5 linked regions of the Ovis aries genome follow. The protein of the gene in region 4 binds, or shares a complex with, the protein of the main gene of each other region. Links are inferred from orthologs where the notes say so. Each region holds a gene or a part of one and is shown on either strand. Other genes may lie near its edges. The genes, in order: SF3B3, SF3B4, SF3A2, DDX46 and SF3A3.

The links.
Region 1: DDX46 (region 4) and SF3B3 share a complex: the UniProt entries of both Homo sapiens proteins name them as parts of the 17S U2 SnRNP complex. The link is inferred for Ovis aries from reciprocal best matches to the Homo sapiens genes DDX46 and SF3B3.
Region 2: DDX46 (region 4) and SF3B4 share a complex: the UniProt entries of both Homo sapiens proteins name them as parts of the 17S U2 SnRNP complex. The link is inferred for Ovis aries from reciprocal best matches to the Homo sapiens genes DDX46 and SF3B4.
Region 3: DDX46 (region 4) and SF3A2 share a complex: the UniProt entries of both Homo sapiens proteins name them as parts of the 17S U2 SnRNP complex. The link is inferred for Ovis aries from reciprocal best matches to the Homo sapiens genes DDX46 and SF3A2.
Region 5: DDX46 (region 4) and SF3A3 share a complex: the UniProt entries of both Homo sapiens proteins name them as parts of the 17S U2 SnRNP complex. The link is inferred for Ovis aries from reciprocal best matches to the Homo sapiens genes DDX46 and SF3A3.

What each region holds. Positions count from the first base shown.
Region 1 is NC_056067.1:1,097,935-1,103,605, reverse strand, and holds part of SF3B3 (splicing factor 3B subunit 3), read left to right. Parts: intron 1-1,897; coding exon 1,898-2,063; intron 2,064-2,572; coding exon 2,573-2,668; intron 2,669-4,952; coding exon 4,953-5,025; intron 5,026-5,671. UniProt on the Homo sapiens protein: Component of the 17S U2 SnRNP complex of the spliceosome, a large ribonucleoprotein complex that removes introns from transcribed pre-mRNAs.
Region 2 is NC_056054.1:100,032,203-100,038,381, reverse strand, and holds SF3B4 (splicing factor 3B subunit 4), read left to right. Parts: upstream 1-2,293; 5' UTR 2,294-2,330; coding exon 2,331-2,364; intron 2,365-2,810; coding exon 2,811-2,939; intron 2,940-3,170; coding exon 3,171-3,713; intron 3,714-4,032; coding exon 4,033-4,239; intron 4,240-5,213; coding exon 5,214-5,387; intron 5,388-5,582; coding exon 5,583-5,770; 3' UTR 5,771-5,996; downstream 5,997-6,179. UniProt on the Homo sapiens protein: Component of the 17S U2 SnRNP complex of the spliceosome, a large ribonucleoprotein complex that removes introns from transcribed pre-mRNAs.
Region 3 is NC_056058.1:19,188,242-19,193,517, forward strand, and holds the end of SF3A2 (splicing factor 3A subunit 2), read left to right. Parts: intron 1-143; coding exon 144-215; intron 216-1,019; coding exon 1,020-1,066; intron 1,067-1,215; coding exon 1,216-1,325; intron 1,326-2,153; coding exon 2,154-2,203; intron 2,204-2,283; coding exon 2,284-2,424; intron 2,425-2,834; coding exon 2,835-2,903; intron 2,904-2,990; coding exon 2,991-3,809; 3' UTR 3,810-3,929; downstream 3,930-5,276. Other genes in the region: AMH (muellerian-inhibiting factor precursor), read left to right, coding at 4,600-5,053. UniProt on the Homo sapiens protein: Component of the 17S U2 SnRNP complex of the spliceosome, a large ribonucleoprotein complex that removes introns from transcribed pre-mRNAs.
Region 4 is NC_056058.1:43,897,909-43,903,579, forward strand, and holds part of DDX46 (probable ATP-dependent RNA helicase DDX46), read left to right. Parts: intron 1-1,630; coding exon 1,631-1,796; intron 1,797-4,241; coding exon 4,242-4,393; intron 4,394-5,158; coding exon 5,159-5,272; intron 5,273-5,671. UniProt on the Homo sapiens protein: Component of the 17S U2 SnRNP complex of the spliceosome, a large ribonucleoprotein complex that removes introns from transcribed pre-mRNAs.
Region 5 is NC_056054.1:12,728,635-12,734,305, reverse strand, and holds part of SF3A3 (splicing factor 3A subunit 3), read left to right. Parts: intron 1-42; coding exon 43-148; intron 149-3,130; coding exon 3,131-3,203; intron 3,204-3,573; coding exon 3,574-3,665; intron 3,666-4,755; coding exon 4,756-4,838; intron 4,839-5,671. UniProt on the Homo sapiens protein: Component of the 17S U2 SnRNP complex of the spliceosome, a large ribonucleoprotein complex that removes introns from transcribed pre-mRNAs.

The sequences.
Region 1 (5,671 bases), on a different chromosome or scaffold from region 4:
TCCTCTACAGCTTTCATTTGAAAGTCAAGTTGCTTATTACTTTTGTATTCCTTTTTTGTGGTACTAGTCTGAATTAGTTCCCTAATTCCTTATTGCAGTTCATTGTCCTGTAAAACTCAACCTTTATAGAGGGTCATGTCTTCAAGCAAACAAGACACAACCCTGATGAAATGCTGTCCTCATCCCTGTGTTACAGTCTTTGATGGCTTTTCATAGACAAATGGGAGAAGGCGATGGCACCCACTCCAGTACTCTTGCCTGGAAAATCCCATGGACGGAGGAGCCTGGTAGGCTGCAGTCCATGGGGTCGCAAAGAGTCGGACACGACTGAGCGACTTCACTTTCATGCATTGGAGAAGGAAATGGCAACCCACTCCAGTGTTCTTGCCTGGAGAATCCCAGGGACGGGGGAGCCTGGTGGGCTGCCGTCTATGGGGTTGCCCAGAGTCGGACACGACTAAAGCGACTTAGCAGCAGCAGCAGCACAGACAAATGAGTTCAATAAGTCTGAACTCTACTCTGGCCTTGAATTTAAAACCAGTATTGAAGACTCCAGATTGCTTATGAAATGAGATGCCATGGCCTTGCCTTCAGGTTTTGCGTTACGTGCAGAAGGCTTGTCTAATGCTATTTCTGTGTGAGGAAAATGGAAATACTGTCTAAAACTTTGTGATTCTATTCCAGTTTCGCCGTTTCTACAGTTGTTCTCCCTTTCTTTATGTCCTTAACTCATTCTCATGGAGCTTATTCCAACTGTCTTTATTACTCCTTTTCCCAGTTTATACCTGTTTTGTCTCACTTTTTACAACTTAGCCTATTGTTATAAGTATTTTCACCCATTTCTAATTTTTTAAGTTTTCTTAACAAGGAACTTCCATTGTAGAAAAGTTGGGAAAGTGCATATAAGCAAAAATGTCTCTTGTAATCCTTCTGCCCAAAGATAGCATTTTTGTGTGTGTGTACCTGTGTATATATATATATTTAAATCTTTGTATAAAAACGATAATGTATTGTGTTTTGTAAGTTATGTATTTTTATATAATAGTGAATAATTTTTTATTAATAAATAGGTCTTAAACATTCATATTTTTTAGCACCCATTATTTCTTTTTGTGGTAAAATATGTATAACAAAATTTGTCATTTTAACATGTTCAATTTGGTGGCATTAATTACATTTGCAGTGTTGTATAACCATTGCTACTATTTTTCCAAACTTTTTTTTATCACTCCAGACTGGACCCGTATGCCCATTAGGGAGTCTCTCCTCCTGGCCCTGGCCCTCAGCACTGGGGACCTGAGTGCACGCACGCGTCCACCCTTCTGTCTGGCTCACTTCATGTGGCATAGGTTTAGAGTTCTTGTGTCAGCTCTGTATTCTTCTTACCTATGAATAATAACCCACTATATGTATGTACCACATACTATTTACCTGTTAATGGACACCTGGATTCTTTCCACCTTTTGGCTGTTGAGAGTAATGCAGCATTGGACGCTGGTGTGCAAATATCTGTTTTAGTCTTTGTTTTAAATTCTTTTGGGTATGTACCCTGTTCTTAAAGACATAGAAAACCCTAGTCAGTAAGCAGAGATCTCAAACTGTAGATGCCGACTCAATATTAAAGTGATTTATGAGCATTATGTTGATGGCAGACATCTTCAGAAGTACTTTTTAAATGCTTATTGGGTTTTTCCCCTTCCAGTTTTACAGAGATAAAATTGAAATACAGCGCTGTGTAAGTTTAAGGTATGCAGCATAGTGATTTGACTTACACACATCATGAAATGGTTATCACAGTTAATCTCATTTGGTTCATGTATAACATATGGAAGTGTTAATTATATTTATAATGTACATCAGAGAAAACATTTTACCTGAAATCTTTGCCTCTCCCTAGTTACTTGTATCAAATCGCGCATCTTGGAGATGACGACGAGGAACCTGAGTTTTCATCTGCCATGCCTCTAGAAGAAGGAGACACGTTCTTCTTTCAGCCAAGACCACTGAAAAACCTTGTGTTGGTTGATGAGTTGGACAGCCTCTCTCCCATTTTGTTTTGCCAGGTGAGGATCTTTCAAGTCACTACATAATGAGCAGTGCTAACCAACTATTTTTTAATATGAATGAGTTTAAAGTTTTAATTCAAATTAACCTCATAGTCTAAAGAGGTTCAGCAGCATATCTGTGGACCCGCCGGGGTATAAGGGTAAAATAGCTGAAGGCAGTTGGGGGGTTAAAAAGCGTTACATAAATCCTTGGGCTTAAAGTGGTTAAGACTCTACATTTCTACTGCAGGGGGCACAAGTTCCATCTCTGTTCAGGGAACCAAGATCCCACGTGCTGTGTGACCAAAACAAAGAACTGATAAAAGCTTTTTTTGTTTGTAAAACTTGCTGCTTCAAACTGCTTGCTTTTCGGGACATTGGGTCTTTTTTTCACTCCATGTGCCCAGGGCCCGTAGTAATATTTAAGCCTAATAAACTAAAAAAGTGGTTTGTCCCCATGAGAATAATCAAGTTTGTGTGTGGGAAAGTAGCACAAGTAGGCATTTCTCCCCCTTTTCTTTGTGCAGATAGCTGATCTGGCCAATGAAGACACTCCCCAGCTCTATGTGGCCTGTGGTAGGGGACCGCGGTCATCTCTGAGAGTCTTAAGGCATGGACTTGAGGTAAGATTGAAATTTCTAGATCATATGCAGGGTTTGGAGGCAAGTGCTAGCAAAGCAGCCTAAGGCTTTATTCTGATGATATCAAAGATGTATTCAGTGTTTATGTGAAACAAAAATGTTTTTCTCTTCACCTGTTTCCATAAAGTTTACAGTTTAAATTTCCTAATCTTTAACATGTCAACACAATAGGCACTTTAAAAATTTGGCAAATGGATATCAAAGGGGAAAAATACCTGTTAATTCCAGGTTCACTTGCCACAATGTGTAGGTTGAGAAGTCTGACTTGCGTGGCACATTTTATTGCACCTCATTTTAGTCTTGATCTTTCTGCATAGTTTTTAGATACTTACATTTTAAACTATGTTAAATACAGTATATATATGTATTTATATCTTACTAAGTTTATTTCTTATTACTATGTGCTTTTAAGTCGTACAATTTTTAATGTTTTTGCAGTGTAGCTTCACAGTGGGTGGATCAGAATTTATTTAATGAATCCTTTATTGTTGGACATTTTAGGTGAAATGGACACTCAAAATTATCTTCTCAAATCCCATATCCTTTTCTCATCATGGTTCTTGTGTTGATGCATTTTAGCAAGCCCTGGGCTTGATTTTGTTAGGAATAAAATAAATCTTCCTATGGCAGTTACTTTTAGCAGTTGGGGTTGGCAAACTCCAGGCTCTTAGAGGCCCACTGCCTGTTTTTTGTAAATTTTTATTGGAACACAGGCAAGGTGACCTTTGTTTTGAATTTTGGCTCTACTTAATTGTTACTAAGCTGTTGTTTCCTCTTCTGTAAAATGGGCTTAATAGCATCTGCCTTAAGGATTGCTGTATGAATTAAATGAGAATGCAGATGAAGTACTTGGTCAAGTTCTGGCTTATAGTAACTGTTCAATAAACGTTAGCTATCAATATTGCTGTCTCAGGGGACTTAAAAAGTTTTGACTGCCTGAATATTCATCAAGTCACCAAAATTTCAGTGACTTGAACCTAATTTAGACCAATAGTTCTTGATAAGTTACTTGCTCCTCATTGGATCCCAGTGATCATCTGGTGAAAGTAAGCACTCAAACACAAAAAAATGTACACATGCGTTAACACTGTGTGCATGGTGTTGGGAGAGAAAGAGCCTGATGGAGAATCGTTGGTTTTGAGTCCTCTGCTGCCTCCTAATTTTTTCTAATTCTATTTTTTAAAATCTGTTATGCAAAAAATATTTTTTTAATTGCTGGACATTGCTTTCTTCCTGTGTATGTTTGTTGAATCTTGTTCAGCTAGATTATGGTCTCAGTTGAGCAGAGTCACTGTCAGATAGTGTAGCGTACATGACATTGAGATTTTATTGATTGTGAAGTTTCCCAAGATTCTCCTGTACCATGATCAGGTACTCTTGCTACCATTACCTGGATAAACCAACAAAAGGATAAAATAAAATGCCTTTCATATGTATTCTTGAGTCCTTCCTGTAAAATGTAGCTCACTGTTCAATTGCACAATATGATAGGCTGTCTTGCTTTTTATCTCTAGGTCATTTTAAAATATTTAATAAAATTTTTATCTTAGGTGGTCTTAGATTTACAGAAAAATTGCAAGGATATTATAGACAGTTAATGTTTAGTCCACACCTTGTTTTCTCCTCTGGATCATTTTGAGTTTATCTTACATATTTTATTTATTCTCATTTGAAAGTCTATATGACATTCAGAGGAGTCTTGACTGTGACATTAAGGGGCATAAAAATCAAGTAGGAAGGACAAAACAGTTCCTCAGATTACTTTCAGATAAGTGTCCTAAGCGGTGATGATTGTGATTCCTGAGAACTTACAGGAGGGAGAGATGACTGCCAGCTCAGAAAATAGGGAAGATTTTTTTCCTAAAGGATGTGGTATTTGAATTGTTTGGTGAAGAGATGTGGAATTTCGCCTTAAGGGAGCAAAGGAAAGGAAAGGATGCTAATTGAGATGGACTGTTTCATTCCCACATGCTTGCTTTTTGTGGAGGATGCAGGCATGTTATCCTCAAAAGGAAGCATTTGGCCTTGGCTGCAGCAGCTATCCTAGATGTCCCATCACTGCTTGCTGAAGGCAGTGTTGGGAATCGACAGTACCTCTAGCCGTTTGGTTCTTAATCTTCTGTTTGACTAGCTGGTTCCAGTGTTTTAATCCAGTGTACACTGTGAGCACTGCTATATTATGGGGACTGTATTATCTAGTGTGATTGTAAACAAGGAGCTGCGTTTCACGCTCAGTGGGTCTGTGGTTTCTCTCCCTTCCTATCAGGTATCAGAAATGGCTGTCTCAGAGCTACCCGGCAACCCCAATGCTGTCTGGACAGTGCGTCGGCACATTGAAGGTAAGCGGCCCTTTCCCAGAGGTCTGAGTGAGGGTCCAGGTGCCACTGACAGTAGACGCTTAAGAGGCTGCATTCATAATACTTCTATGTCATTTCATATACTAGAAACTTTTTTTTGACTCAACACCATGTTTTTGGGGCTCCCAATCACAATGCTTTCACGTACTACATTTTGTACACATGGGTAAGAGGCACACAGGGTGGCTGTTCGTCCTCAGTGCATACACACTTCAGTATCATAGATAGAGCTGGCATATGTCGGTTCTTTGACTATATTTATCATTAAGGTAGTCTTTCCATATGTGTTAGAGGTATGTAGAAGGAAAAGTTTTTGCTTCTTCTACAATGTTTTCTCCTGTTGTATTGAAATCACAGTGAAATTGAAGGTATTCTGGATATTAAGAGGCTTGTTACTGTTCTGTTCAGTAGGTGTAGTAGTTGTGTTTAAGGGAAGTGGAGGTTGATTGAAGCAGAATTTTAGGGTGAATGGAAAAGGAGGGATGGAAGAAAGAGGAAGTCTGAGCTCCTGAATAAAAATGGTCACCTCATCCTAAAACTTTGAAAGTTATGTGAAAATGCATATTAATGCAATAGCAGAAAAGTCCTGTGACAATGGAATTTCAGTCCCTTAGAAATAAAACTCAGT
Region 2 (6,179 bases), on a different chromosome or scaffold from region 4:
ACACATTTTTATGTTTCCTTAAAATCAACTTTAATCAGTCCTGAGGCCTAGTTTGAAGTCTAATAAGGAGAGCAGATAAAGTGTTCTCAGGGGAAGGCTTGTAGTTTGATAACTGGTACAGTGTGCAGTGGGTGACAGCTGGACATTCCTTCATGACCCAGTTTGGGGAAACTGGGGGTCATCAGGTTTCTAAGTTGCCAGTTGATTTCCTGTTCCTCCTTAGCCAAGCTTCATGGTTCCTGGGCCCCCCAGTTCCGTGTGGCTCTTCTCTAGAGGGGCCCTGACACCCCTGAATCAACTCTGTCCTTGGCGGGACAGTCCCTCCCTGCTGGCAGTCTCCTCTCGTTGGCTCCCTCGACCTGCTATCTCTTCTGAAAGCCTGGCTGATCAGGAGTGGGGGCTCCCCTCACACTGGGGAGCTTGCCCTTTACCCCCGGGACTGCTGCTGCCTGGATGTCTGGGACCCCAGATCAGGCTCTGGAGACGCTGCTACCTGAGGGGAAGGCCTGAGGTCCAGGTGAGAAGGGAAGGCAAAAATTGGGAGTGGGAGAAGGGGTCTGACTTTTGAACCAGATGTTCTAGGAGAAACCAGATGTTTCCAGGAGCAGAAGGGCAAGGGTTTGGGGGACTGGGAAGTTAGATACCATTCCTATTGGTATCAAAGCGGATAGATTTGGGAGTGTGGGAAAACTGCTTCTGGCTTATATCAAGTGGAACCTAGGGGATAGCTGGAGGAGGAAAGGGAACTAAGAGAATTAAGGATCCTCTCTGCCTCTCTTCACCCTCTTCCCAGATGGGCCTCTCAGCTCCCACAATCTCTGGTCTCCAGGAGGAGCTATCCCATCTTCAAGAGTTATTAAGGAAATGGACACCACGAATATCTCCCGAGGATCACTCCAAGAAAAGAAACCCAAATACCATTCTCTCCCAATCCCGTTGAAATTGCTGGCTTTCTCATGGGCAGGGCAGAGGGTGGTCTGGGGTGAGGGAGAGTTTTGTCTAATCCTTCGGTTTTTCTTATCTGGTCTTGCTGCCTCAGCTTTCATAAACAAGATCACTGACCTGAGTTTCTATTGAGGATGAGTGGTGCTAACCTTATCCAACTCTTATCCTGCCTTGTTTGGTTTAAACAGTTCTTATCATTTGAAGAATTAAGAAACAACAACAATCCAGAAGACTGCCTCTCTTTTTCAGGGCAATTCCATGTCTTTGGGATGGAAATTTTGGATATTGCGCTGGTAAATTGTGATAATCAGATATACTGTTTATCAGTGCCAACAAGATGGCCTACAGACCTCCTTCTCACCTCCTCTTGCTGCTTAATTCCAATTTCTATTTCTTCCCTTATAGTTTTCTATGGGTATGGAATATACACAGGACACCCTATCTCTTCCAATTATATATTTTCATTGTGACATTTCTATTTAAGGAGTTCATTAAAGCACAATATTTATACACGCCGCTGGCATTGTTTGTGTCTGATTAAAGGAACCTTAGGTAAGGGAGTGGTGGGAGAGGAGGGAAAGGAATGTGACCCACGAAGGGACGGTACCGACCATATTACTGCTAAGGAAGTAAGGGGCTGGGCTGCGTGAGGCGCTGCAGGATTCACAATTTAAGGTCCTCTCTTCCGTGTAGACAGGGCAAAGGCACGCCCAGAGGTTGCTGGAGTTCAGGGTGTGCTCTGAAGGCCTCGGCCTCGGCCTCGGCCTCGGCCTCTGGGCTTCAGTATCAAACCCCCGTAAACTTCGGTACCACCCCACCTCCGAACCTCAGGTTCCCCTCCTATGCAGTGACTAGGCGAGCTCAGACATTCCACAATTCCTTCCCTGAGGAAAAAGGAAATACCTCAAGCTCAGGCCTGGGCTGTGAGGCCGCGTCTGTTCAAGGACTGCGGGTTGGGATGGACGGTTCTCCCCACGCCTTGCGTTGAGCGGTTCCTCTGTACACCCTTCTAAGGGGGAAAAAAAGGCTACAAAACACATGAAAACTAAAGTTTTGTTCTCCCAGCTTCTGAAGTGACAGTTTCGGGAGCAGTGTGACCCTTTAACTTCTAGCACTGCCTTAAAAGAGACAGAACGTTTCCTTTTCACTTTCCCCGCCGCGTCCGCTCATAGTAGCACTTCTGCACGGGAGCGTGGACCGAAGCGCACCGCTACTTCAGCCGCTTCCAGTCTCAGCGTCTCCTAAGATGGCCGAGGCCGCTTCCGGCTCCTCCCCTGCCGCGGCCCCGCCCACCACCTCACGTCAGCCTTCGCCTCGGAAGCGGAAGTAGTGACTGAGGTCAGGGGGCGGGATCGCTGCCTGGAGACGGCGGGAGCGCTTTCGCCATGGCTGCCGGGCCGATCTCCGAGCGAAACCAGGGTGACTGGAGGGGACAGACCCAGAATGGACTCTGGGGGTTTGAGGGACCTCGACTAGGCCCAGCAATGTTTCCGCTGGGGCGGGAGATTTTGCCTTTCCGAAGGGCGCCAGACTGGTCCCGATGCCTTATGGGGACGGGATGGACAGACTTGAGGCCTATAGTTGTGATGCTGTGTCCAGTCCTCTGCTGCCTTCCCACTCAAAAAAAAAAAAAAGAAAAAGAAAAGTTACAGAGTGAACTTGCACCGTCACTCTAAATTAGACATAAGATTGTCTATTTTCTGGAAAGGAGGAGCTTCTAAAAGCTTAATCTAACATCTTTTTGTTTTTTCGCTTTTCTACCCCATCTCCACGTCCACTTCCTCCGCCTGGGTTCCATCTTCATGTTCCCGTTACCTCCCTATTTCCCCTCATCTCTGTCCTTACCTCTTAATCCTGTCTTCCAGATGCCACTGTGTACGTGGGGGGCCTCGATGAGAAGGTTAGCGAACCACTGCTGTGGGAACTATTTCTCCAGGCAGGACCAGTAGTGAACACGCACATGCCAAAGGATAGAGTCACTGGTCAGCACCAAGGTGAGTACACGGCAAAAAGTACAGTTATCTATGAAAGGGACAGACTGCTCCTGGAGGTCTCCAGTGATATTAAGTTTTGGAGTGAGCAAACTAAAGATTTTGTTTCTGGAACCATTCTCAATTGAAGTTGGGATTATTATTTCTTATCCTTTGTGCTTTAGAAGACAAATGAGTTATAAACTCGTTTTTAAATCACTTCAGTTGCTAACCTCTTCTTTTCCACTTCCCCAGGCTATGGCTTTGTGGAATTCTTGAGTGAGGAAGATGCTGACTATGCCATTAAGATCATGAACATGATCAAACTCTATGGGAAGCCAATACGGGTGAACAAGGCATCAGCTCACAACAAAAACCTGGATGTGGGGGCCAACATTTTTATTGGGAACCTGGACCCGGAGATTGATGAGAAGTTGCTTTATGATACTTTTAGCGCCTTTGGGGTCATCTTACAAACCCCCAAGATTATGCGGGACCCTGACACAGGCAACTCCAAAGGTTATGCCTTTATTAATTTTGCTTCATTTGATGCTTCGGATGCAGCGATTGAGGCCATGAATGGGCAGTACCTCTGTAACCGCCCAATCACTGTGTCCTACGCATTCAAGAAGGACTCCAAGGGTGAGCGCCATGGCTCAGCCGCTGAAAGACTTCTGGCAGCACAGAACCCACTCTCCCAGGCTGACCGCCCTCATCAGCTATTTGCAGATGCACCCCCTCCACCATCTGCTCCCAATCCTGTGGTATCATCATTGGGATCTGGGCTTCCTCCACCAGGTAAAGCTTTTGATAAAAAATGTTTGTGTTGGGTTGGGAAGGGTGGGGCCAGGAAGAAGGAAAAATAACCTGGCAAGGAGAGGACATTGAGTCATTAGGTGATGAGAAAGGGGTTGAGGGATGATGATTGTGGTGGGAAGAAAGTTGTTGAGTTTTCTCCAGAAGGTTGTTGTTCAAGTCACTTAATGTTGCCGCTGACTTCAGAGAGCTGGGAGGAGGGGAAAAGAGCTCATTCGGCCTGGAGAGGCCAGGGTGGAACAGGCTCTCTAAAGGCACTCTCTGCTCACTATCATTAACTGTTTTTCCATTTTCTCTATAGGCATGCCTCCTCCTGGCTCCTTCCCACCTCCAGTACCACCTCCTGGAGCCCTTCCTCCTGGGATACCCCCAGCCATGCCACCACCACCTATGCCTCCTGGGGCTGGAGGACATGGTCCCCCATCAGCGGGAACCCCAGGGGCTGGACATCCTGGACACGGACACTCACATCCTCACCCATTCCCACCTGGTGGGATGCCCCATCCAGGTGAGCGTTCTTTGCTGGGAAGGAGAGGGATGAGCTTGATGGAGGAGCTCTGTCAGCACTTAATGCTGCTGTTCTTTGTCCTTTAACAATAATAGATAGTGCCCAAGCTCTCCTTTCTTTCAGACATTCTTTTAGGAAAAAAATGCAAGATACTTTACCGTTTATTTTAACAACCATCATGCTGTCTTCATTTCTTGTTTAAGTTTTACCAAAGAGAACAACAGGCTCTCTGCATTGGTTCTTTACCACTAGCGCCACCTGGGAAGCCCAGGCTCTCCTATCCTCATTATTTCACACCTAATTTATTTTAGTAATACCCTAACTGACACTTTGACTCTAATTATCTCTACTTTGATTGACTATCTCAGAGTAATTTTTCTTAAATACAGATATTCACACACCTTTGCTCAAAATTCTTCTGGTTGTTCCTTTTTACTTACAGAGTGAAACCCAAACTCGCTATCATAGCATTCTAGGCTTTGCATAATCTGGCTCCTGCCTGTTACTCCCATGACTACAAGCTGTTCTACTGGGTTTCCTTTAACATACTGTGCTGTTGATCACATCCATGCTTTGCACCTGCTGATTTTTTTCTGCCTGGAATGTTCTTTTCCCACTCTGTTGTCCACCTGAAAAATTCCTGTTCATCCTTTAGAATTAGATCTTTGCTGTGACAGTGTCTCTGTTATCTTCCCAGATTCTATTCAGTAGAATAATCACGCCATTCTGCAGCACTGTTACAATGCCTAAATCATGGAAGGAGCAAATGGGCTTCAGGGACTGGGGAGCTGTAGGGTAGTTGGTTGATTTATTCTCTTGGGATGGAGTCAAAGATAAGGGCACTTTTTACCAGCTTTAATTTCTGTATTCTATCTGATGTCACTTTCTTCATTTTCTTCTCTGTCTTCTTTGCCCTCCTGTCTTCTAACTTCCTTTTGTCTCATTTCTCACTGTGTCTTGTTTTGTTCTCATAGGGATGTCTCAGATGCAGCTGGCCCACCATGGCCCTCATGGCTTAGGGCACCCCCACGCTGGGCCGCCTGGCTCTGGGGGGCAGCCACCACCCCGACCACCACCTGGAATGCCTCATCCTGGACCTCCTCCAATGGGCATGCCCCCCCGAGGGCCTCCGTTTGGCTCTCCTATGGGTGAGTAGTCTTTAGCCACCTCCCTCATCCTCACATATTGTTCTTGCAGCTTGTTTTGTCACACCTCTTATCCCCTGCACTTTCTTTTCTTCTCTTTCTTTTCACTATCTCCCAGTGTATCCTCTCCTTACATTGTCCCAATATGAACTGTCTCCTATTCCTTGTTTTTACTTTGTTTTCCTTTTTTACCTGCAGGTCACCCAGGTCCTATGCCTCCGCATGGTATGCGTGGACCTCCTCCACTGATGCCTCCTCATGGATACACTGGCCCTCCACGACCTCCACCCTACGGCTACCAGCGGGGGCCCCTCCCTCCACCCAGACCTACTCCCCGACCTCCAGTGCCCCCTCGAGGCCCACTTCGAGGCCCTCTCCCTCAGTGATTTCTCATTGTTTTTCCTCCTGTTGTAGCCTCCCAATATCTATTCACTTCCTTGGACCAATCAGAGTTGCTATAGCTCCGAGGGGCTAAGGCACTAATCCCTCTCAGGCCTTTCTTTTGTAAGTGTAATTTTTTCACAGGAGGCTGTATTTTATTTTATTTTTTCCTATGTTGGCCCTAAGTGTTTTACAAATACCCAGAGAAAATTAAACTAAACTCCTTGTTTATCGTTTGTGGTGCTTAACTTGACAGAATAACTTCTTTTTCTCTGAGAAGAGATGTCCGTATATTGGGAGAAGAACGGTAAGGTAGGAGTGAGGGTGTTTATTCCAAGTTTTAAAGACTTACTCTATAATGTGCTATTGCAAATGCTGGACTGCTGTGTACTGCAGCACTTGATTCATTACATC
Region 3 (5,276 bases), about 25 Mb from region 4:
GAGGCGGGCGGTCAGCCCCAGCCCTAACCCCGTGCAGTGGACCCTGTGGGATCCCAGGGGCGGTGGTGCTGGCTTGGGGCTCCAGCTTGTCCTCCATCCCTGAGCGTCTCCCCCACTGCCTGACACATGTGTTTCTTCTGCAGGACCCCTACTTCATGAAGAACCATCTGGGCTCCTATGAGTGCAAGCTGTGCCTGACGCTACATAACAATGAGGTGCGTTTTTCCCAGGGAGGTACTGGCTTTAGAGCCCCGCTGTGCCATCTCCGCCCTGCACGGCACTGGGACAGCCACCGTGGGGTCCCTACCTCCATCTGTCAGTTTCCTGTAACATCAGTGGCTCCGACATCACAGATGTGCATCTGTACATGTGGGGATGTCCAGGATGTCCACGTGGGGCGAGAGGTCTGGAAGGCATGGCTTCTAGTTTGAGTCTTTAAGCAAGTGTCAGTCGGATGCTTGCTTGCATTGGGTTCCTGTCCTTCGCCATAAGCAGGTCCTCTCTGTCCTTTCCTGTGTAAGGAGGGCGCACTTTCTGTCCAGATGGTTCGCAGCTCCAGACAGCTGCACTGAGCTGAATAGTCTCGTATGGGAGCATCTCCCAGCGGTTTTGAGGCTCCCCCTTCTCTTTGGGGGACCATCCTGGACATAGAGTCCCTGGAGGTCAGAAAAGCCTCCAGTTGGAAACTGCTGATACACATGTTTTCTTCTTGGGACATTATTGAGGTGGAATCAAAGGGCATGTTTATTCCAGGTGTCCCCACCACTGCCCAGCAATATCCACTGGCCCCACCCACATCCTGGCAGCCACAAGACTGCTGTGTCCCCCCGACCCGAGACTCTCATCTCTGGCTTTTGAGCATCTCGTCCCCCTGTGTGCAGATCCACGAGAGCTCATGTGTTCAGTAGCCACCGGGTGCCCGTCAGCACTGAGCCCTGTGGATGGAGGCGGGCCCGGGTGGGACACCGGGCACCACTCCCTCACTGTGCCCTCAATTGCATGTTCCTCTCATGTTCCAGGGGAGTTACCTCGCGCACACCCAGGGGAAGAAACATCAGACCAACTTGTAAGTACCTGGCACCCCTTCCCATGCCTGCTGTCCCCCTCACCTCACATCTCCAAGGTCGGCCGGGGATGGGCGCTCCTGGCGCCTGGGGCTGTGGCCTTGATGGCCTGTGAGGAGGGGCCTCAACACTGTGTCCGTCCCACCTGCAGGGCCCGGCGAGCAGCCAAGGAGGCCAAGGAGGCCCCCGCCCAGCCAGCACCGGAGAAGGTCAAGGTAGAAGTGAAGAAGTTTGTGAAGATCGGCCGCCCAGGCTACAAAGGTAATTGTCGATGCCCTGGGTGGGCAGTCCCTCACCCACCTCCAGCTTCACCAGTGGCCTCAGCTTCCATTAGAGGCTTCCTGCCCTGAGGGCGGGGGCCTTAGTGTCTCCTCTGCTCTTTATACTCCTAGCAGAGGTGGGTGCGAGGGTGGGAGGGGACTGCAGGCCCTGGTGTAGTCCTTTCCTCTGACCTTAGAACTGGGTGCTGGTGCCTTTTCACATGGAGAGAGAGTAAAGGAAAGAGGAGGCTTACCTGGGCCAGCAGCTGCAGAGGATCGGGTTGCCAGGGAGGAGGGGAAGGCAGGCCTCCTTGCAGGTGTTCTTGCTGAAGTGGGCACACCCTGTGTATGACTGGCGTTTCAGACAAGACATGGCTTGGGAAGGCCCTGGAGTGGTCCAGCTTGGTGAGCCAGGGCGAGGATGGCACTACCCCCAGGGAGGCCACCACAGGCCTTTTGGTCAGTCTGGGTCATCTGGCCTCTTCCTGGCTGTGTCAGGGAGACACTAAGTGCCTGAGGGCGCATATGAAGGGCCCCGGAGCTGTGTGGAGAGCAGCCCAAAGCCACAGAGCTAGACTGTGATGGGCACCCGCTCCCAGAAGGTCTGGTGGAGGAGGGTGGGCAGTGGGGAGCCCACCCTCTGCCCCCACCCAAGTGATATCAGGCAGGTGGCACCTGGGGCACAGCCCTCCCACCCTTGGGCCAATGACTGCTAGTTGCCCAGCAGGGTGACCTCCCCCCACTTGCCAAGCCAGCTCTCCCATTCGTGGGTGACATTAGGCCAGTCCTAGGACCCCGTTACTGGACCTGACATCCTCCTGTGTTGCAGTAACCAAGCAGAGAGATACAGAGATGGGCCAGCAGAGCCTCCTTTTCCAGGTGAGCAAAGGCCGGGAACCCTTTGTCCTGAGGGGAGGGGCCCCTGAGAGGCAGTGCTGTCACTGGCCGTGTCCCTGCAGATCGACTACCCTGAGATTGCCGAGGGCATCATGCCCCGACACCGCTTCATGTCTGCCTACGAGCAGAGGATCGAGCCCCCGGACCGGCGCTGGCAGTACCTACTCATGGCCGCTGAGCCCTATGAGACCATCGCCTTCAAGGTAGTTTGCTGGGACCCCGGAGGGTCCTGCAGGGTCTGCTCCATCCAAGCAGCTGGCCCCAGCCCACACCAGGCGCCCCCTCTGGGCCCTTGCCTCCTGAGGGTTGTCAGAAGACGATGCAGAGTGAGGGCAGGGGCTGGGTGTCCACCGTGAATCAGACCCTGGCATGGCCCTAGCAGTGAGGTGGCCCTGTTACCAGGCTGTGCAGGACTCTGACCTGGTCCAATTCTCAGATACATGTTAACGAGACAGGGTAGGTTGCAGCTTCCCTGGGTGGCAGGGCTGCTAAGCAGTGGAGCAAGAATGCCAGCTGTCACCCCCACGTCAGACCCTGTTCCCTCATAGAAGGGCCTCCTGGGCCAGGCCATTTCATGGTCCTGAGGGCCTGTCTGCCCCTCTACCCCGCACAGGTGCCAAGCAGGGAAATAGACAAGGCTGAAGGCAAGTTCTGGACTCACTGGAACCGGGAAACCAAGCAAGTGAGTCAGTCCATGTCCATGCAGTTCCCCATCCTTCTCCCACCCCAAGGCCTCTGGGACCCTACTCAGTTTTTCCTGTCTGTCCAGTTTTTCCTCCAGTTCCACTTCAAGATGGAGAAGCCACCAGCCCCACCGAGCCTTCCTGCTGGGCCTCCTGGGGTGAAACGGCCCCCACCCCCACTGATGAACGGCCTGCCCCCTCGCCCGCCACTACCAGAGTCGCTGCCTCCGCCCCCACCAGGAGGCCTGCCCCTGCCACCGATGCCGCCCAGTGGGCCTGCACCCTCAGGGCCCCCAGGCCCTCCTCAGCTGCCCCCACCGGCTCCTGGGGTCCACCCACCAGCACCGGTGGTCCACCCACCAGCCTCTGGGGTGCATCCCCCTGCTCCTGGGGTCCATCCCCCAGCTCCTGGGGTCCACCCCCCGGCACCAGTGGTTCACCCACCAGCATCTGGGGTCCACCCCCCTGCTCCAGGGGTCCACCCTCCAGCCCCAGGAGTCCACCCTCCTGCTCCGGGAGTCCACCCTCCAGCCCCAGGGGTCCATCCTCCCCCATCTGCTGGTGTTCACCCCCAGGCACCAGTGGTGCACCCACCAGCTCCTGCAGTTCACCCCCAGGCTCCGGGGGTGCACCCGACTCCTGCCGTTCACCCCCAGGCTCCAGGGGTCCACCCACCAGCTCCTGGGGTCCACCCACCAGCCCCTGGGATCCACCCCCAGCCTCCTGGGGTCCACCCCCCTCCTCCTGGGGTCCATCCTCCGGCTCCTGGGGTCCATCCTCAGCCACCTGGGGTGCACCCCTCAAATCCTGGGGTGCACCCCCCAACGCCCATGCCCCCGATGCTGAGGCCTCCACTGCCCTCCGAAGGCCCTGGGAACATTCCTCCCCCTCCCCCCACCAACTGAAAAGCCACCCCCATCCTAGCAAGTCTGGTTTGGTTTTCCTGGGTTTCGCCCTCAGAGTAGAGTTCTTTTGTACTGGGCTGGGTGTCCTCAGAGCTCATTAAAGAGTCTGCTGACCCTGAACTGGACTGCTGTGTTAACCTGTGGGCGGTCAGCTTGCTGTGGGTGAACACACGTGACTGCTTTCCACCACCATAGGGGGTGTCAGGGTCCCACCTGGACCACAGGGGGTGGCCCCTGCTGTCTCTGCAAGGACAGACCCTGTGGGCCAGCAGAATGTGGGGTGGTTCTCTGGGAAGACAGCAGAGCGAAGAAGGCTGCTCACTCTCCTTGGGGGTCTCTGTGGGCCTCAGAGGTAGGGTGAGCGAGCACGTGGGGTCACTGGGGGACAGACCTGCCTACCCGATGTGAAGCGTCATCCCCCTTGGGGCTGGCACCTGAATCCTCCTGGGGCAGGGGCTCCACACCTTGCCCTCCAACACCCCCAGGTTGTTGATAGTCTGACTGTCTGGGGCATGCACTCCTGCTCACATTCCTGCTCTGGGGAGGGGAAAGATTTGTCAAGGACAGTCTGACAAATGGGTCACAGGCCACACACACTGTATCACTGCTCAGGAGATAGACAGGCAGGTTGGAACAGAGGGGGCTTTGAGAAGGCCACAGGCCTCCCAGGCTCGCAGCAGGCACCAGTCTCCAAGGTCATGTCCCAGGAGGAGATAGGGACTGCCCTGTACCACAAACAGCCCTGCTCCCCTTATAAAGTAGGGCAGCGCAGCCCCTGGAAGCTCCCAGGATGCCCGGTCCATCTCTCTCTCTGGCCCTGGTGCTGTCGGCCATGGGGGCTCTGCTGAGGCCAGGGACCCCCAGGGAAGAGGTCTCCAATACCTCAGCCTCGCCCAGGGAGCAGGCCACAGGCAGCGGGACACTCATCTTTCAGCAAGGCTGGGACTGGCCACTCCCCAGTCTCTGGCTGCCAGGCAGCCCTCAGGACCCCCTGTGCCTGGTGACCCTGCATGGGAGTGGCAACGGGAGCAGGGCCCCCCTGCGGGTGGTGGGGTCCCTGAGCGGCTATGAGCAGGCCTTCCTGGAGGCTGTGCGGCGCACCCACTGGGGCCTGAGTGACTTGACCACCTTCGCTGTGTGCCCCGCTGGTGACGGGCAGCCTGTGCTGCCCCACCTGCAGCGGCTGCAGGCATGGCTGGGGGAGCCCGGGGGTCGGTGGCTGGTGGTCCTGCACCTGGAGGAAGGTATGTGTTGTGTCGGGGCTGGGGTGGGAGGCCAGGCTCTAGTGCCCTCCTCCCAAGAGCAGAGGACTGCAGAGCCCCCAGCCCAGACCCCTCCCCAGTCTCAGGAAGTGGAGGCTAATGGCCAGAGAGGTGGGTCACTGTATCTTTGCTTGTTTGGGGCCAGAAGTTCTCCAGCTCCCAGCCACCCCTCTCCCCATGCAGTGCCTGGCAGAGGGGGATGTGG
Region 4 (5,671 bases):
ATTTTGAGTTGTATGTCTTTAACATGAGTAAATATTTTTAAGTGCTATGAACATAATGTAAACCAATAATTAAATAAGGCATTTTAAGTTTATCTACTATCTGCACTTTTCTTTGAATTGCCTATTCATAGCTTTTGCCCATTTTACAATATATTATAGCTTCATTTCCTTTTTTTTTGAGATCTAATTTTTGTTTTTAGTGGTTCTTTTTTTAAGGGAACTGTTTGCTGAGCAGGTTATCTAAGAAATTAACACAAGAAGTCTGGAGGTCTGGTTTCTGATTTAGTTTCTACTGTGGAATGACTGGGTGACCTTGAGAAAAAAACATAAGCTTTCTGGGGCTCATCTTCAGAGAGTATGGAATTATGAAGGATGTAAATTCAGGGACACAGGTTTTGTTTGTTTAAGAAATAAATTTATTTTTAAAATATAAATATAACCATATTATAAAATACTTGGAAAGTCAGAAGTAATTCTCTGTAATTCTAGATACCCAAACGCCATCAATATTGCAGTTTATTAGTATTTTCTTTGACTGTTTTTTTACATGTGTGTTTCTATACCTATTTATATAATTGTAGCATGGATGGAGGAGCCTGGTAGGCTACAGTCCATGGGGTCACTAGGAGTCGGACACGACTGAGCGACTTCACTTTCACTTTTCACTTTCATGCATTGGAGAAGGAAATGGCAACCCACTCCAGTGTTCTTGCCTGGAAAATCCCAGGGCTGCCATCTATGGGGGTTACAGAGAGTTGGACACAACTGAAGCGACTTAGCAGCAGCAGCAGCATGTATAAAATTTTGATATTTATGATGCTTAATCTTTAAGTCCTTGATTATGCCTGTGAAAATGATTTGTCTTTCCTTTGAAGAGTATAGTTGATAATCATGATACAAGCTTTAGAATGGCTGTTCCTAGAAAACTTAGACCTAAAGGCTAAAAGATCAGAACTTCTTAAAGATTTTGATAAATAACTTTCATTTACTCACTTGTTTGAAATAGAAAATTGTGATAAAAAATCCTTCTCATGGAGGCAGTCTTGGAGAAGTTTAAAGGATTTACAGTTGAGAGTAATAATTAGGGAACTTTGCTTGCCAGTTCTTTTAGTTTCCACTTTGAGGGAGAGGTTGAGTTCATGTGTGCATATTGGTAGTAACTAAAAGGAGAGTAAGTTATAGTATTTGAAGTTTGTGTTTGGCTTCCCTGGTGGCTTGGGTGGTAAAGCGTTTGCCTACAATGCGGGAGACCTGGGTTTGATCCCTGGGTTGGGATGATCACCTGGAGGAGGAAATGGCAACCCCCTCTAGTATTCTTGCCTGGAAAATCCCGTGGATGGGGGAGCCTGGTAGGCTACAGTCCATGGGGTTGCAGAGTTGGACACGACTGAGCGACTTCACTTTTCTGGTTTATTAGTTGAAGATACTTTTGATTGTGATTTCATTTTGTTAGTTTATTCCTTAATATATTAAAAAGATGTGTAATCTAAATCTGGTCAGAATTTAGGAGTTTTGTGTAGATACCTGTTTTTCCTTTTCTTTTTTTATACTTTGAAAAAGTTATTTGGAGTGTCAGTAGGAGTAAAACTGTTGATCCTTATTTTCTTCTATTTTTCATTTTCACCCCAAGAACTTTGACCAGAATAAGCTAGAAGAAGAAATGAGAAAGCGAAAAGAAAGAGTAGAAAAATGGCGAGAAGAGCAACGTAAAAAGGCCATGGAAAACATAGGGGAACTGAAAAAGGAAATCGAAGAGATGAAACAAGGGAAAAAGTGGAGCTTAGAAGATGATGATGGTATGTTCATTTGTTTGCTAGTAGCCTAAACAGCAATTCATGTATAATATTCTAGGGTTATAAGTGATAGACTATTTTTTATCATGAAAAAATACACATAATATTTACTATTTTAACCATTTTTAAGTGTACATTTCAGTGATGTTAAGCAAATTCACAGTGTTGTGCAGCCATCACAACTGCCCATTTCTAGAACTTTCCAAACAAAATTCCAAACAAAACTGCCTTATTCAACAGTATTCATCATTCCAAACAAAACCTCTGCCTTATTCAACAGTAATTCTCTATCCTGCCTTCCCGTACCTCTTCATTTCTAATAACATCTAATCTACTTTCTGATTCTGTGAATTTGCTTATTCTAGGTACCTTAATAAATGGAATCGTGTAGTATTTGTCTTGTGACTAGGTTTATTTTATTTAGCAAAGTGTTTTCAAGGTTCATCCATGTTGTAGTCTATATCATAATTTCCTTCCCTTTTAAGTCTGATAGTATTACGTTGTATGTATATACCACATTTTGTTTACCTATTCAGCTGTTGTTGCATATATAAGTTGTTTCCATCTTTTGACTATTTCGAATAATGCTTCTGTGAGTGTTGGTTTGTGCATATCTGATTGAATCCCAACTTTCAGTTCTTTTGGGTTTATAGCTAGAAATAGAGTCACTAGATTTATTTTGAGGTTTTTCAATGCCCCTTTTCATATTTAAAGTTTTAATTGTAGAGTAGCGTGCAGTAAGGATCACTGATTTTACTTTAGAGTGGAGAGTTGGATGCTTATGGGCAGTCAGTAAATAGCTCTTTAATTTTTTTACTTCAGATGTTAGTAGTGAGGGTAAGTTAAGGGCATGTTTCCAAGTCCCTCTGATTTTTTTCCTAACTTAGAAGAGCAACATTTCCCCTGCACATCTTGATTATTTTTTTCTTTTTTAAATTATGAAACTATGATAGTACATTTACAGGAGATTTGGAAAATACAGAAAAAAGTTACATATATTTCCACTATATATTACAATTATTTTTTAAGTAGATAAATTAAGGTTTTTAGTTGGAGTTTCAATATCAAACTCTCAAAAGTTAATGGAATGAATAGACAGGAAAGTAGAAGGATATAGTAGACCTCAAAAGCACTATGAACCAATTCAACATAATTAAGATTTATACAGTTTTCACACCAAGGCAGGATACAAATTCTATTCAAGTTTCCATAGACTGTGAACCAGGGGACACTGGAACATATCCAGGGACATAAAGCAAAGTGCAAAAATAGTCTATGGGTATTAAAATCATACAGTCTGTTCTCTTATCATGGTGAAATTGTATTAGAAATCAATATTAAAAGATATTTGAAAATAACACACATATTTCAAGTGCAGTGTGACATTTACCAAGAGAGAATTTTGACATAATCATTGAAAGTCTCAGTAAAGTTAAGAGACTGAAGAAACAGAGTGATTGCAACGAAGAAAGCAAGTAAATGAGAAATTAGTATCAAAATGAGAAATTAATATCAAGGATACTTTAAAAACTCCATGTGTTTGGACAGAAAATGTCCACTTTTAAATGATGGTTGTATCTAAGAAATCATAATAAGGAAAATTAGAAAATATTTGTAGCAGAATAAAAATGAAAGAGAATTTATCAGAATTTGTTGAATGCAGCTGAAGCTGCTCAGTGCAACTAAATGCAACTTCACAACTGATTTTGATGCGTAAGATGTTAGTTAAGTGGAATAATGAGGTTTTATAGGAAAAGGGAATTTTGCTCCATTTTTTTTGTGAAAATCCCTGTGAATTTTTCATTTTCTGTGGAAGTTCACCAGGGTGTTTTGTTCTAAATAGATTAATGGATTATGTCTTTAAATGGTGGTGATGTTGTTGTTCAGTCACTAAGTTGTGTCTGACTCTGTGAGCCCATGGACTGCAACACACCAGGCTTCCCTGGTGATAGTTATGTAAAAAACATGAGACTGTCTTTCGGAGAAGGCAACGGCAACCCACTCCAGTACTCTTGCCTGGAAAATCCCGTGGATGGAGGAGCCTGGTGGGCTGCAATATACTATTAATTTTTTCTTCCTGTGATTAAAGAAAAGTGATTGAAAGAAGCGAAATAAGCATATCCTTTTAGCAAAGTTTTTAGTTTTGCTTCTGTTAGTGTGGTTGTAAAATAATACCAGAGATCCATTTTTCAGACGTATTAGTGTTTCTTCCTCTTTTCAGTTTAATAGTTTATCATTTATTTCTTTTATTATTAGTATTATTCAAAACTAATGCTTGTTTGATTTAAAACCTTGCCAGTATGAGTATTTGAACTGTATTGTGCCTGGGTTAATTGATAAGGAAGGTATTTGGGTAGTTAAGAGAAAAGGCTTCTTAATAGGGGCATGGTCGGATTGTGAAATAATCCCTTTTGAAACACATATTCAAAGTATGTTCTGATATTTTAGATGATGAAGATGATCCTGCAGAGGCTGAAAAGGAAGGAAATGAAATGGAGGGTGAGGAGTTAGATCCATTAGATGCTTACATGGAAGAAGTGAAAGAGGAAGTAAAAAAGTTTAATATGAGAAGTGTGAAAGGTGGTGGGGGAAATGAAAAGGTATGGGATTTTTTTCCTATTTTATTTTTAAAGATTTATATTCCTAGTTGAATAACTTGAATTCATTGTTGCATTGACCTACTATTGGCTTGCATGGCTTTATAAAGTTAATGATTTTGTTTCCTTCTGCATCTCAGAAGTGTCTGTGCTTTTTCTAAAGAGCAGAGATACTAGCAAATTGTAACTGCAAATGTCCTTTTAGAGTCATCATTACTATTATCATCTTTGTTTAGTGTTTTTGCTTGCTTGTTCCTTTCTCAGTAGGTCCTTTTCCAACACTCCCATATTTTATACTCCTGATCCTCTTTAGTCTAGGTTTTCTTTTTCTTAATAGAATTTATTGACAAATGGTGTAATTCAATGTTGTGTTTGCTTGTTCCTTCTTTCTTCTAAAATCTTCCCAAGAGCAGTGATCTTTACCTGTTTTGTTTATTGATTCATCTTCAGATCCTGGGATAGTATTTGGTTTGTGGAATGAGTGAAAAGTACTATTTAATAGTATTTTAAAAATAGATTACATAATATTATATAAAATTACATACTACATACCTAATTACCTGTGTGTTAATGTGTTAGGAAATATAATGCTGTTGTATTACATTTTTAAATTTAAGTAAGGAGAAAGTGGGCTACTGTTTGTTTTTGCATTAGTAGTCACTGACTACTAAGTTAATTCAGATTATAAATTGTTACAGTTATCATTGTTTCATTTGGTTTATACTTTGTGTTTCAACTTTAGCAAAATATTTCACATTCTTTTTTTAGAAGTCTGGGCCAACGGTCACAAAAGTTGTCACAGTTGTCACAACCAAAAAAGCAGTCGTAGATTCTGATAAGAAGAAAGGTGAGCTAATGGAGAATGACCAGGATGCCATGGAGGTAACTTTAATTTTAACTTTGTTCACGATACCATAGAATGAAACAGCAGCCCGCTCCAGTATTCTTGCCTGGAGGATTCCATGAACAAGGGAGCCTAGTGGGCCATGGTCTGTGGGATCACAGAGAGTCGGACACGACTGAGCACACAGCACGTGGTACCATCCTATGAGTATTTATAAGGAAGCATTGATGGAGGTGTGCTTTTCAGTTACGCAGTGTACTCTTGGGAGAAATTCTTGCTTTTCTCAACAGTATTGTAGCCAGATATCCAAACTGGTAGAACATTTTAACCTCTTTAACTTCTTGTATACCTACTTTTTTTTAAATTGAAGTATAGTTGATTTGCAATATAGTATTAGTTTCAAGTGTACAGCAACGTGATTCAGGTATACACACACA
Region 5 (5,671 bases), on a different chromosome or scaffold from region 4:
CTTTGTGCTCCATGTTTTCTGGATTTTTTTCTGAAATTGCAGCTTACGAAAAGAGGAGCTCAATGCCATTTCAGGACCCAATGAGTTTGCTGAATTCTATAATAGACTCAAACAAATAAAGGAATTCCACCGGAAGCACCCAAATGAGGTATGACCTTGCAAAGTTTTTTCTCCAGTCCTGTCCAAAGAGTATACAAAGGACATGTGTTAGGAAAATGGAGATGGTCATTCAGATGTCCTTTCAAAAAGGAACTTACCAGTTAGCAATAAGCAGCGTAGTTAGGTGACATCCTGCAACTGCGAGTTCTTTCAGAATTTCCCTCAGCTTTAAGCTAAAGCCATTCTCTTCTAGGGCTTCCCAGGTGGCTCTCATGGTAAAGAAGCTGCCTGCTAATTCCCTGGTGGTTCAGTGGTAAAGACTGCCTGCACTGCAGCAGTTGCAGGTCCAGTCCTTGGGTCTGGAAGATCCCCTGGAGGAGGACATGTCAACCCACTCCAGTATTCTTGCTTGGGAAATCCCATGGACAGAGGAGCTCGGCGGGCTGCAGTCCATAGGGTCGTAAAGAGAGTTGGGCACGACTGAAGCGACAGAGCACACATATTCCTGGGCAGCCCCTAACCAGCGACTGAACACAGTGTGGGGGAGGGGTATCACAGCCTGGTTATTTCTGCCCACTGTGAGACTTTCAGTGAGATTTTCTCATATCTACATCATGGTCTAGGCTCTCTCTGCTCCATCCCTCCATCCTGCTCGCTCTCTCCTTTCTTTTTTTTTTTTGGTGGCCACACCTCATAGTTCATGAGTTCTTAGTTCCCCAAACAAGGATCAGAACCGTGTCCCCTGCATTGGAAGCATGGAGTCTTAACCACTGGACCACCAGGGAAGTCCTTTCCTTTTTATCTTTCATGGGTAATCCCTCTCCTCCTGCCCCCACCACCCCACTGGTCAAGAAACCACTTGTGTTCCTATCTTGAAATCTGCTGCCTGGAGGAACCGACTAACACAAAGAGGCTTTACTCACGTCCATTGATCATTACCCCTTCATGATTCAGCCCAGAGATCAACTCTTTCATGAAAATTGCTTCCTAGTCTATCTCACTCCTAGTTAATGCCAGTTAATCTTTCTTTTCTTTATGATCTTGTCATGTTCTCTGACAATAAATGTCTGCCCCACTGTACTGTAAAATTATAAGGAGCAGGGATTACATCTCAGTTGTTGAGAACTTACTAAACATCTTGCACAACTGACCAAAGGAATTCCAGGGCAAAGGGGGAGTGAGGCATGTCTGTAGAAGTGGAGAGAGGGGTCAGTAGTTGCACTGAGCATTTATGACTCTGTAACTGAAAAGTTGTTTTTTCCCTTGATGGAAATAAGGAAGAAAGAACTCGTTTACACTGGAAGTGGATTTTTATGTATGTAGATTTTCAGGTGATGATGGACCTAGGTGGAAGTGTCATATGAGCAGTTGAAGTTAGTGACTGGGGCTTGAGAATTATCACGTGGACTTGATGGCTGAAGCTGTGAATCATAGTGTTCTGGGAGGGAGAGAGAGTGTGAAGGGAGACTCAGCTTCTGTGTGCCTTGGGGCACTCACAGTAAGGCACCTCACGGGAAGGGGGCCTGGGGAGCCTCCAGCACAGGTCAGTTGGCAGCTCCAGGCCATGTCTTATGGGAGCTCAGCAAATGAGCTTCAGAAAGGAAGTGACTGGTGTCTGCTGTTACTGATTGGTAACTGCCAGGATTGCTGCTCAGTGGAAGTGGTGGGCGTGGAAATCTGGGAAATCTGGTCACAGGGAGTACTCGTGAATAATGGGGAAACAGTAGTGTGTAGTGTTTTAACATGCATTTGAAAGACTGGCAGGAAAAAGGAGAGGAGACGCAGGAGGAAGATAGGAAGGTGTCCATATGTAAAGGAATGGGTAGAAAAATAAGAGACTGAAAATACTAGGCAGGAGAGGCTACTTAGTGGAGGCACGTAAATGTCTCCTCACTCCCCTTGGAAGGTATTCAGTCTTTTGCTAACCAAGAGAGAAGACGTGAGTACCATTTTGGTGTGTAACCTTATCCCAGCTCTGGTGGAAAAGTGATGCAGAATAAATGGTTAAATTTATTCCAGGATATACTAAGGGGGAAAAAATAAATCCAATTATGTGAGAAGCAAAGTAATAATCTTGTCATTTGCCTGTATTATGGTTGCACAAATACATATATAAATGCACAGAGCAATGGTTTCCAAATCTTGCCGTGCATTTGAATCTGAGGGTCTTTAAAAAGTGCTGATACCTCCCCCCACTTCTCATTTAATTGGTATCAAGTATGTCAGGGCTTTTAGCGCGCTCTTTCAGGAGAAGGCAATAGCAAGCCACTCTAGTACTCTTGGCCTAGAAAATCCCATGGACGGAGGAGCCTGGTACGCTGCAGTCCATGGGGTCGCTATGAGTTGGACACGACTGAGTGACTTCACTTTCACTCATTGGAGAAGGAAAAAGCAACCCACTCCAGTATCCTTGAGCCTGGAGAATCCCAGGGACGGGGGAGCCTGGTGCGCTGCCATCTATGGGGTCGCACAGAGTCGGACACTACTGAAGTGACTTAGCAGCAACGGCAGGTGATTCTAATGTGCAGCAAAGTTTGAGAATGGCTGACATTAAAAATTTTTTAAGTAGTCTGTAGACAGTGGTTATCTATTTGCAGTACAATCTTTTTTGGTGGAGGCAGGTTGCTTCCCAGGGGATGGGAGTGCTCTTCAAGACATATGGGATCTTAGTTCCCCGATCAGGGATCGAACTCATGCCCCCTGCATTGTAAGTGCAGAATCTTAAACACTGGAGCACCAGAGAACTCCCTTGCAGGAAAATTATTAAAGGGGGCAGCTTGATTTTTTTTTTTTCATTCTGTCTTTTTATGTTATTTGAACTTTTTTGAATGTTATTTTAGCAAATGTTAGTTAAACAATGGCAGAAAGCAAAGGAAAAAGCAAGGTAATTGGAAAACAGAAGTAAACTTCTAATGAAAAATCCAAGCTAAGTGAAGCATTAGAAATCCAACTTTCTATATAGCCCATTCTGTGATATTGCAACCTTTATGTTGAAAAATCCACCTGAGCTTTTCTCTTTTTTTCCCATCAGATCTGTGTTCCGATGTCAGTGGAATTTGAGGAACTCCTAAAAGCGCGAGAGAATCCAAGTGAAGAAGCACAAAGTAAGTAGGGTTTAGTGCTTCTCTCCAGCACCAACAGAAGTACAGGTAAATTACAGAGCTCAGATTTGCCCTCAGAGCTCTGGAAAATGGCCCCACAGAAATTTATAGCTGGGTTCTCCTACTGATGTTCTCTTTGTTAGACTAGAGAAAAGCCTGGACTAAATTGTCATCCTAAACTGGCTTTGGGCACAATGTTCATTTTGTGCTCGTCCAACTTAAATGCATTGGCTGAGTCCTGTTTCACTCTGTGAGCAGAGAAAGGGTATTTGGGTAAAGGGCTGCATTATGAAACAGTGCAGTCCACTTGAAAGGCCAAGTCCAATAAAGTGGTCTTTAGTACCTGAATCACTGATACCTCTGATTGCTTCAGATTTGGTGGAGTTCACAGATGAAGAGGGATATGGTCGTTACCTGGATCTTCATGACTGTTACCTCAAATACATTAACCTGAAGGCCTCTGAGGTAAGACCCAGGATAGAGAAGGTGGCTCTGATTCTCACAGTGAGTCAGGACACTGAGCCGTGTCTTCCTTGTGTTCTGGAACTGTTAGGTAACTATTAAAATGGTGATGTGCTTTCTTAGAAGGAAACCATTTTCAAAGTGAAAATCGGGTTTCTGCAGTGAATGAATAAGTCTTTTACTTACTAGTAAATTTTGTTTTATTATTACAAGCCTATTTTGCTTTTGTAACAATAAATTTTTAAAACTCCCAAATACACGTCCAGCATCTGTGTTAGGTACACATAGTAGTAGGTACATAAAGATACAAAAACATAATCTCTTCCAGGAATGACTATTTAATATCTTTAAAAAGATACCTAAAATAACTTACCATAAGAGATGAAGAAGGAAATGGCAACCCACTCCAGTGTTCTTGCCTGGAGAATCCCAGGGACGGGGGAGCCTGGTGGGCTGCCGTCTATGTGGTCGCACAGAGTCGGACACGACTGAAGCGACTTAGTAGTAGTAGTATAAGAGATGAGATTTAATGTGACAGTGTCAGGAAAGTCGCAAGGAAGTATGTGATGGAATTCCTCTTGGAGTTGTAAGGACATGTCCCAAAAGTTGTCTCAGCTATATAAGCTCCATGAGTCCAATCCTGTTGGATCTGTCTTGTTCTCATGTATATCCATACACTTGGTCCAAAGATACTTAATAAGTGATTGAGGGAAAAAACGGCACGTTCCGGGACGTTATTTTAACAGGTAGTGGATGTCAGTCTTTAAATAAGTGCCCGGTATATAGTAATGATGAACAGATATTTCTTTTAGCCTATGGTTTATTGACTTGATCTGTATTTTTCCAGGTTAATTATGTGTCTCATATTCTACTCCGTCTAGTGGAATTAACACCCAGTTAATGCAGGAATTAAATGGTAGGAGGAAAAAAAAGGCTAAAGTGAGTGTTGTTAACTTTGTTAGGCTCAATTTTGATCTCATTTATTGGAGATTATGTAGTTAGGACCAATTTTGATCTCATTTATTGGAGATTATGTTGTAACTTGGTGCAAACACCTAACTGAATCTCTTTGTCATTTCTTTTCTCTTTTCAGAAGCTGGATTATATCACTTACCTGTCCATCTTTGACCAGTTGTTTGACATTCCTAAAGAAAGGAAGAATGCCGAGTACAAGAGGTAGGCATTATTAGCTTCCAGGCCTCTCCTGAATGTGACTAGAAGATTATTTTAATGAGATTTGAGGGCAGTTTTGAATTTTGTTTCATGAAAGGCATACATGAATGACTTCCAGGTTTATGGGAAGGTAGGGGTTTTAAAGATACATTTTAAAAATCATAATACTTTGGGACTTCCTTGGCTGTAGAGTGGATAAGAATCTGCTTGCCAGTGCAGGGGACGCGGGTTTGATCTTTGGTCCTGGAAGATTCCACATGCCGTGGAGCAGCCCCTGTACCACAAGTATCGAGCCCCCCTCTAGAGCCCAAGTGCCTCAGCTAGTGAGTCTGGGCACCCTGAGCCCGCACACCGCAGCTGTTGGGTCTGTGTGCTGCAGCTGCTGAAGCGTATGTGCTTAGAGCTTGTGCTTTGCAGCAAGAGAAGCCACCACAGTGAGAAGCCTGTGCACTGCAGCCAGCAGTGGCCCCCGCTTGTGCAGCTAGAGAAAGCCCTCGCAGCAGTGAAGACCCAGTGCAGCCAAACAAATAAATGATTAATTAGTTAAGTAAAATCATAATACTTTGGCTCTGGAAGAATATGTGTCTGTGGGCACATCTGTGATCTTAGGCCCATACTGTTCTTAATTTTGTCTCATTGTGAAAGGAAGTCTCCCACCCTGGTGCCTCTGTCTCTGGAGCTGAGCAGAGTGGGGACAAAATTAAACTTTCTCAGAGGTGCCTGGGTCTGATGTATAGATGTCATGCTTTGTTGGTGGTGTTGTGCCCCTAGTTAGTAATCTGCCTTCCTCTATTTTTCTCATTTTCTTTTTACCTGAAATCTTTCTTATTTGTGAG